Linked DNA regions of Xenopus tropicalis. The protein of the gene in region 2 purifies or fractionates together with the protein of the main gene of each other region. This does not show direct contact. Links are inferred from orthologs where the notes say so. Each region holds a gene or a part of one and is shown on either strand. Other genes may lie near its edges.

What was found.
Region 1: the proteins of sik2 (region 2) and ppp2r2c purify together in Homo sapiens (affinity purification with mass spectrometry; 3 studies listed by BioGRID and IntAct, counting the BioPlex papers as one, with this or other methods). This does not show direct contact. The link is inferred for Xenopus tropicalis from reciprocal best matches to the Homo sapiens genes SIK2 and PPP2R2C.

What each region holds. Positions count from the first base shown.
Region 1 is NC_030677.2:25,387,935-25,392,059, forward strand, and holds the start of ppp2r2c (protein phosphatase 2, regulatory subunit B, gamma), read left to right. Parts: upstream 1-1,325; 5' UTR 1,326-1,671; coding exon 1,672-1,741; intron 1,742-4,125. UniProt on the Homo sapiens protein: The B regulatory subunit might modulate substrate selectivity and catalytic activity, and might also direct the localization of the catalytic enzyme to a particular subcellular compartment.
Region 2 is NC_030683.2:84,190,230-84,194,294, forward strand, and holds the start of sik2 (serine/threonine-protein kinase SIK2), read left to right. Parts: upstream 1-1,265; 5' UTR 1,266-2,334; coding exon 2,335-2,469; intron 2,470-4,065. UniProt on the Homo sapiens protein: Serine/threonine-protein kinase that plays a role in many biological processes such as fatty acid oxidation, autophagy, immune response or glucose metabolism.

The DNA of each region.
Region 1 (4,125 bases), on a different chromosome or scaffold from region 2:
TCTCATTATCCTCTGTATAGTAATAAATACTGTAAATTCATAATGCTGAGTGTATATTGCAACCTAGACACTGGATACCCCCACACTTTGTGTTTTCTGCCTCCTTTTAGATTGTAAGCTCTATGGATCAAGGCTGTCTTTACCTACTGCATGGGCCACTCTTTGTATGTGAATTGTGTGTTTAAAGCATACACTCATTTATTGTACATTGCTGTTGGTACTTATTAAATGCACATTATTGATATTAATAATGGTACCCCTAAATAAAATCTACAATTCCCATAATGCTACCCTGTAGAGAAAAAAAGATCCCTGGCAATTCAACAAGAATGAGGCCCCCGAAATATTTGAGTTGGTTTCAGTTAGGGGTGCCTTGGGATAGAATTCCGATATGTATGCGACTGTTACACAATATATGCCAATTGTTCAACCCTTATCTTCACCTCTTGCAGGGCCGGAACTAGGGGTAGGCAGAAGAGGCAGCTGCCTAGGGTGCAACCATCAGGGGGTGCCAGGCAGAAGCCTCTCCTACCTACCCCTAGTCTGCTCTCTTTAGCCATTGCCCCCGCCGCTTGTCATCGAATCACGAACCTCCCCCGCGACTGCGCATGTGCGCTAAAGCACATGGGGAGTGGTGCGAGGTGGCCGACGGGGTTGCCTAGGTTGCCTAGGTTGCCCTGTTGGCTTGGCCCGCCCTGACCTCTTGTATCGGTTATTGATTGCTTTATATGTTACTCTGTATGTCCAATATATGTAACCCACTTATTGTACAGCGCCAGGGGTAGGCAGAAGAGGCAGCTGCCTAGGGAGCACCAATTGGGGGGCGCCATGAAGCCTCTCCTGCCTACCCCTAGTCCGTGCTCTTTAGTCATTGCCCCCGCCGCTTGTCCTTACGCAGAGGGGGCAATGCTCCATCAAATCGCAACACGAACCCCACCCCCCGCGTTCAACTGCGCATGTGCGTCAAAGGGGGGGTGCGAATGAGGAAGGTGCAGGGGCGAGGTGGCCGACCGGGTTGCCTAGGGCGCCCGGTAGGCATAGCCCGCCCCTGTACAGCGCTGCGGAATATGTTGGTGCTTTATAAATAAATGTTAATAATAATAATAATAATAACAACCCCCCCAGGGACCAGTGCAAATGCCCTTGGTGTCCTGCCCCATAAGCAGACCTTTGGCCAGTAACACACATCCCTGAGCCCCCTTTTCCCCGCAGTGTAATGCTCCCCGGTAGCAGTAGTAGCAGCAGTAGCAGTAGCAGTAGCAGCCCCTGATGCAGCCAGTGACTGGTGCGCTTGGCCCAGATCAATGTGCCTGGGAGGGGCGAGTTCTGATGCAGCAGCACAAGCCTATGACAGCAGCAAGCAGGCAAGTCGCACACTGCTCTCCCAGTCTCACGGCTGCTTTTTACCGCAGTGGGCGATCGCCTGGAAGCCAAGCGAGCATCCCCCAGCAGGAAGGGAGGAGGACGGTGCCCAGTGAGCGATCGGAGCAGCCCGGCGGGTCCCTATTGCTTGCGCAGCGGTGCCCCCCCCGTATCAGGATGGTGCGCTCCGGGGCTGGCTGCGCTCCCTTCCCGCGTTAGGCAGCAGCACTATGGATGGCGCTCTTGTAACGACCTCTGCTCATTTCATCAGTCCGCTGGGGACAGGCATGCTGAGTGCCGCTGCTGTCAATGGGCGAGGACGTGGACACGCGAAAAATTAACCACAGCTTTCTCCGGGATCACAACTATGTGACTGAAGGTACCAGCCCCCCAAATATCCCCCCCCCCCTCAGTGTTGTGAATATTGTGCCCCCTCTCTGTCACTTTGATTCCAATTGTGCCAGCCACACTGTGTCTTGTCATGGTATCCCCCGTGTGTGCCAGTCTATAATTCCCACTGTGTTGGGTATCATGCATTGGGGGGGCAGATGGGAGAGTCCAGCAGCATTGGCTTAGGGCAGTTAGGAACAGGTCCTGCCCTGACCCACTGAAAGGGGTTATTTACTGCAGAGTGGCCAAGTGAGGAAATCTAAATGACATAGGGGATAATTAACCAATAAACTACTCACTTCAGAAATGGTACCCAACCTCCTAATAAATCCTGTGAGACTGAATATCATGGGGATTTTCTTTGATTTGGTCAGTTTTTAGATTCAGTCAATTAATATTTAATAAATTTTGGTTTATCTATAAAACCTTAACCCTGGTATTTGTCGCCCTACAGCCAAATTACAACTCCCCCCCCCCCCTCCAGGGGTTGCTGGGAGTTAATGGTTGCTCAGCAGAGTGCCTGTCTATTGAGACAAATAAATGCAAAGCCAGGCGTTAAAGTGTCGGGTCGGTGGAAGGGGCACATTATTTGTGGTTCCCTCTGCCCTGAGCTTGATGAGCAGAGAGGATCGTATGTGAGGAGCTGACAATGGTGGAGCCGTGTAACAGCAGAGCAGTGAAAGCGCTCGGTCATGAAACCCTTTGGCTTGGTGCATCTCAGGGCAATAAATGTTTAATTAGTGATCCGAGAGCCTGCGCTCTAACGTGGATCGACAATAGTCAGGTCAGCAAAATTGCATCCCATGTAAATCGACCCACATATAAATGGCTCCAGCTGCAATTCATAAGGTTCCTAGTTCGGCCAGTCACACGGTCACGGATGGCTAGAGATACATGAATATCTATGGGCAATTAGAGGTGGCAGATATATATTTAATGCTAAATTAGATGGACTAGCGTGTGCTTGCATGTTCCCTTCAGAGACTGTTCCCCTGGTTGGCTTCATGGATCATTATTGGGTGACCAAGGGCTTAGCGCTCCTTATAAATGCACCCATCACAAGAAGGTTCTGCAGCAGCTTAGGCCTCTGCTTTATTAGATGGCCTAGTGGGTGTAGTCATCTATCTGTCTATCTATCTATCTATCTATCATCTATCTATCTATCATCATCTATCTATCATCATCTATCTGTCTGTCTATCTATCTATCTATCTATCTATCTATCTATCTATCTATCATCTATCATCTATCTATCATCTATCTATCTATCTATCTATCTATTATCTATCTATCTATCTATCTATCTATCTATCTATCTATCTATCTATCTGTCTGTCTGTCTGTCTATCTATCATCTATCTATCTATCTATCTATCTATCTATCTATCTATCTATCTATCTATCTATCTATCATCTATCTATCATCATCTATCTGTCTGTCTATCTATCTATCTATCTATCTATCTATCTATCTATCTATCTATCTATCTATCATCTATCTATCATCTATCTATTATCTATCTATCTATCTGTCTGTCTGTCTGTCTGTCTGTCTATCTATCTATCTATCTATCTATCTATCTATCATCTATCTATCTATCTATCTATCTATCTATCTATCTATCTATCTATCTCCCTATCATCTGTCTATCTGTCTATCTTTCTTGTATCTGTCCTTTTCTTCACCCATCAGAACAGACACAGCTTGAACATAGATTTATATTTTCTTTACCTTCGCATTTTAGCTGTTGTGCGTTGATAAGAGAGATGAGGGAGATGTGGAGACTTTGCCTGGATGCCCTGGAATCCATTAGATGTTCCTATGGGGTAGAGCTGAGGGTGTATTCTGTATATTCTTTTTGATGACTGGATTTGTTCTAAGTCTATTCTGATTCTTCCTCTGTGGGTCCTAATACAGTATAAAAGGAATAATTATCCCCACTTGTAAATACATGGTTATTAGACATAGTTGTGTGATCATGTAGGTATCAGGCCATGGTATACAGATGATGGAACTCCAGTGTGACTTGTAATATACGGTATCTCTACTTCTTTTTTTAACTTTTCTTTCCCCATTATTTCTCCCTCTCTTCTCCCACTCTCTCCTGTTCTCCCCTCTCTATACCTGTATTCACCTTTTTCCTTTACTTGTGTCCTCCCCTCTCTTCTCTTTTCCTTTTATCCCTTCCTTTCTGCTCGCTTTCTCTTCTTTTAACCGTTCTACTTTTCCTTCTCCCCTAATCTGCCCCTCATCCTTTTTATTCTGACACTCCTCTTATCCCGCACTACCCCTTCTCTCCCTATATCCTATTTTATTCTTTCTTTCAGTGGCGTAACTAGTGTGCCCTGGGTCCCCCTGCAAAAAAATCTTCA
Region 2 (4,065 bases):
CTTATAGAAAACAATGAAACCACTTCCAGGCTGTATGCAGTGGCTACTTATTTTCTTGCTCAATTTACAGCCCTGTGTGTACAAATAGCTGTATATAAATATAAAATGTGCTTACATAAATCACCACATAAGACACCAGTTTATGTGTGTTGGTATAAGAGCCAATAGTTATTTTGGGCATGAGCAGCAGTTTTTCAAGAGACAGCGGCGTATGTAGAAGTTACTGCGCTCTTTATAAAAAATCATTTTACAGTTTAACTAAATATTCAGGGGCCTATAGTGTTAACATTCCCAATAGCTTTAAACCCTACACTTCCTTATTTCACTATTACTGGGCGGAAGCCCATGTATCTATCTTGCTATAAGGATGTTTTGTATCTTTGGCCCATGAGACTTATGATTACTTGCTGCACACTGTAACATAGTGTTCAGCAGGAGGTGAGAACTTCTTATTTGGCCTGCATCTGTTGAAACAGGTACATGATCAACAAGGCCTCAGTAAAGCCATCTATCTCTAGAGAAGTCGGGGAGCAGGGACCCTGTGAACGAGGATTTAGTAAGTGCAGGATATATTCTCCTTTACAGTCTCCACTGCCTAATTGAAGGGGCCACAGTTATAACAAGGGTATCAGGCATAGCCTTCTCCCTCATATATGTCTGCTGTTTGGGATCTGGTCCATTAAGGTAAGAAACTTTAAGGAAAAAGATGCCCTACAGTGGTGCATCTTTACATTGCTTGCTCTGCATTTAACGTGCCAATCTGTTGCCCTGCATCTGCATTGTGAGTATTACTGCATTAACCTGTGGACCATTTGTCTTGGACAAATAAACTGAGTTCTGTTTGAGTTTGCTGCAAGAACCATCTGGTACCCTTTATTTCTTTATTTTTGCACACAGCATAAGTGAATTGTAGTTGCACAACTACATGTCCCCCTTGGTCCTTTCACATAACAAAGGCCCATCCTGTGTGTTAGTCAAGTGTACCCCATGCTCCATAGCCCATCTAGCTGGTCTTTGTTTTGCAGCCAAAAAGGGGTTGCAATTATAAGATAGTTTCATAAAATGTTCATTAGTCAGTGACCCACTAGGCACACAAGCGGTAGCAGAGTACCTATTCCCCTCAGCTGACAGCCCGGTTCGACAAGCCTCTAATCTCCACACCAGCCCTGGCACAGAGAGATAGAACAGCAGCCCTAAGAGAGCACAGCTAGGGCCAGGGTAATGTTGCCTGTCATGCCCCACAGATGCCGGTGGTGGCGCTGTCTCTCCAGGAGCACCGTGCCCAGGGAACACCATAAGAACAAAGTTACTGTGCGAGCTACTTATTATTATAATAATTAATTAAGACCAGTAACATGTGCATGCGTTAATAAAGAGTGCTGTGTAAATGCGGATGTATGCAGCCCCCCTGCTTCCAATTGTTCGCATGTTTCTCGTAGCTCTGATCAGGAACTCCCTGAGCCCCGGTGCAGCAGCAGGCCCGGGGCTGCCATCCTGCCTCTAAGCTATAGCTGCTATGTGCGAACAGGCAGCGCCTCAGCCACACACACATGTATACTCTCCCTGTGCTAGCCTTGACTGACAGCTTCAGCAGAGGGCTGCTGACGTCAGAGCTGGCTCCGGTTGTCAAGGGCAACCTATTTGGCAAGCGAGCTGTGAAAAAAAGACAGGGAATAAAGGGCCCGCCCAGGAGGCCTCCTGCTGCTCTGACGTCAATGGACGTTAACTGTGAGAACATGATGCCTTGTGCATAGAGCGGTACATTGGCTTCCTGCTGCACAGCTGCCTCCACTCCCTGTGTCTGGTCGCACGCGTGCTACAGCGACTAACAATACCTCTGTGCAAGTGAATGGGAGCTGCACAATGCTCGTTACTTTGCAACACTTTAGCCGTAAATCTGCCTGCAACGACTTGATGAGCTGACTTTATCGGACCTGTGAAAACTCAGCCCGATTGGTTGCGTTTTGTTTGCATGTTAATGTCAGACGTTCCCACCTTGCATGGATGTGTGAGAGCTCATTCGGGTATAACCGTGCTGAACACATGGCAGGAGCTGGACAATGCAAGCAGTAACGCGTTCCATTTGGGAATTCTTCGCCACCATCAACTTTACAGAAAAGTCTTGCGATTGTATGTAATGTGCGGGCGCTAGAAGCTGAATGTAGTTTGCGTTGGGTTGCACTTGCCTATAAGGAATGGCTAAGGTGAGCCCCCTGTGAGCGCCTGTAGGATCTGCCTGCGATTCCTTTCACTGCGACTTGTTGGGGGGTGTGAGCACTAATCGTGCCGGTTGATGTCTGTTTCCCGTTGGAGCTTCCTGGCCCGGCTCCCAGCATGGTCATGGCGGACTGTCAGAAGCCTGTACAGAGGGGTCCTGTCCGGGTCGGATTTTATGACATAGAACGCACTTTAGGGAAAGGGAATTTCGCGGTGGTGAAGCTGGCGAGGCACCGGATCACCAAAACCGAGGCAAGTACTGGCCAAATGTCTGGCTAATAACTTGTGTGAGCTTCACTGCATCCCTCTGCTGTTCTTGCACTACAACTCTTGGCGCAAAACTGCAGCGTGTTTTAGCGCAATAACAGCTGGGAAGCCGCTTCTTTTACATTTCAACTATTTCCATTTTCTATTATGCCAATAAGGGCATTTTCTGCCTATTGCCTTATCCCTGCAAAGTGCTGGGCACCCAAATGTGACAGTGCTGTGTTCTGGTAGGGAGTGTTGCTGCTGAGGACTTGCTGGGCACCAACTTACAGCATTACCTTTCCTTAGCAAGTGATAATGCTGGACATGTAATTATGGCATTGGTGTTACCTGGTAGGTGCTGGGCAGTGGCACCTATTTATGGCATTGTTTTACAATTGTGAGAGTGTTTGCAGTGCACCCATACTCCTTTACACTAGTGAGGTCTTATGTTAGACATCCAGACATGCCTTTGCATTACCTTTGTAAGTACCATTACTGGGCTTTTAAATATGGCATTGCTTTATCCTGGTAAAGGCTTTTGCTGGGTTCTCCTATATGGCATTTTTCCCTTTAATGGTTAAGCTTGTGGTGTCTAAGTATGGCATAGTTTACAGGGTAAGGTTATTGCTCTAACTTGGTAAGTGTTATTTTTGGGGATCCAAGTGTGCCATTGCTTTAGCCTGGTAAGGTCTGCTGGTGGCCACCTAAACGTGACATTTCTTTTCCCATTAACAACTGGTGTCAACTATGACACTGCCAAGTAAGGGTAAAGATAATAAATAGTAAAAATAAAAACATCTTGCCAACTGCAATAATAAAATTTTTATTTTTTATTGATGCCACATTATATAACTATAATTTCTTATTAATCCAGAGTCTTTAAAATCACAGTACAGACCTGCTTTGTGTGGCACCATGGAGACAATAAACATATTAATTGGCATAGAAATACTTTAGCAAACAAAGTTTGGGTACAAACAGCTTTTATTTTGCTAAATCTCATTACATTGCTTACTGTTTCGTGGCCCAAAGACAGCAAAGTCAAACATAAAGTACCAGCATCTTCTGTCTGGGAATACTAGGGGTTTGGGTTCAACAACCGCTAAGGTTTGCCAAACATGCTGTTGCTTTTCTCACTTACAGCCAGAGTTACAGGTGACTGGCAAAACCTACTCGGCCAAGTATCTTATGAACTGCACTAGTAACCAATTTGTTCCCTAGAATCCAAGAACACCGGTTCATGTTTACCTGCTGATTTATGAGCCACCTAGCAGGTTTAGCCCCTCACTTAATACCGCAGGTAAAGCTGTGCATTAATCCATAGTACCAATCAATTTTTCCTGCTTTTTCCAACTGCATCGCACTGATTAAAGGTATATCTCTGGCTGCTATTGGTTACTGCAGCATTTCAGTGAAGCATCTCTCTTAGAGAATGGGTTCATGGTTTGTTTGTTTGCCCAGTGTGTAGTTTTTATGATAAGTCATCTGAACAGAACATGAATTCTGCATTTTAGTTATGTTGCCATAAAATGCCTTGTAGTCACAATCTCAGGTATAGAAACCAACTCCAGTCACACTACCAAGATTGAGTGACACTCT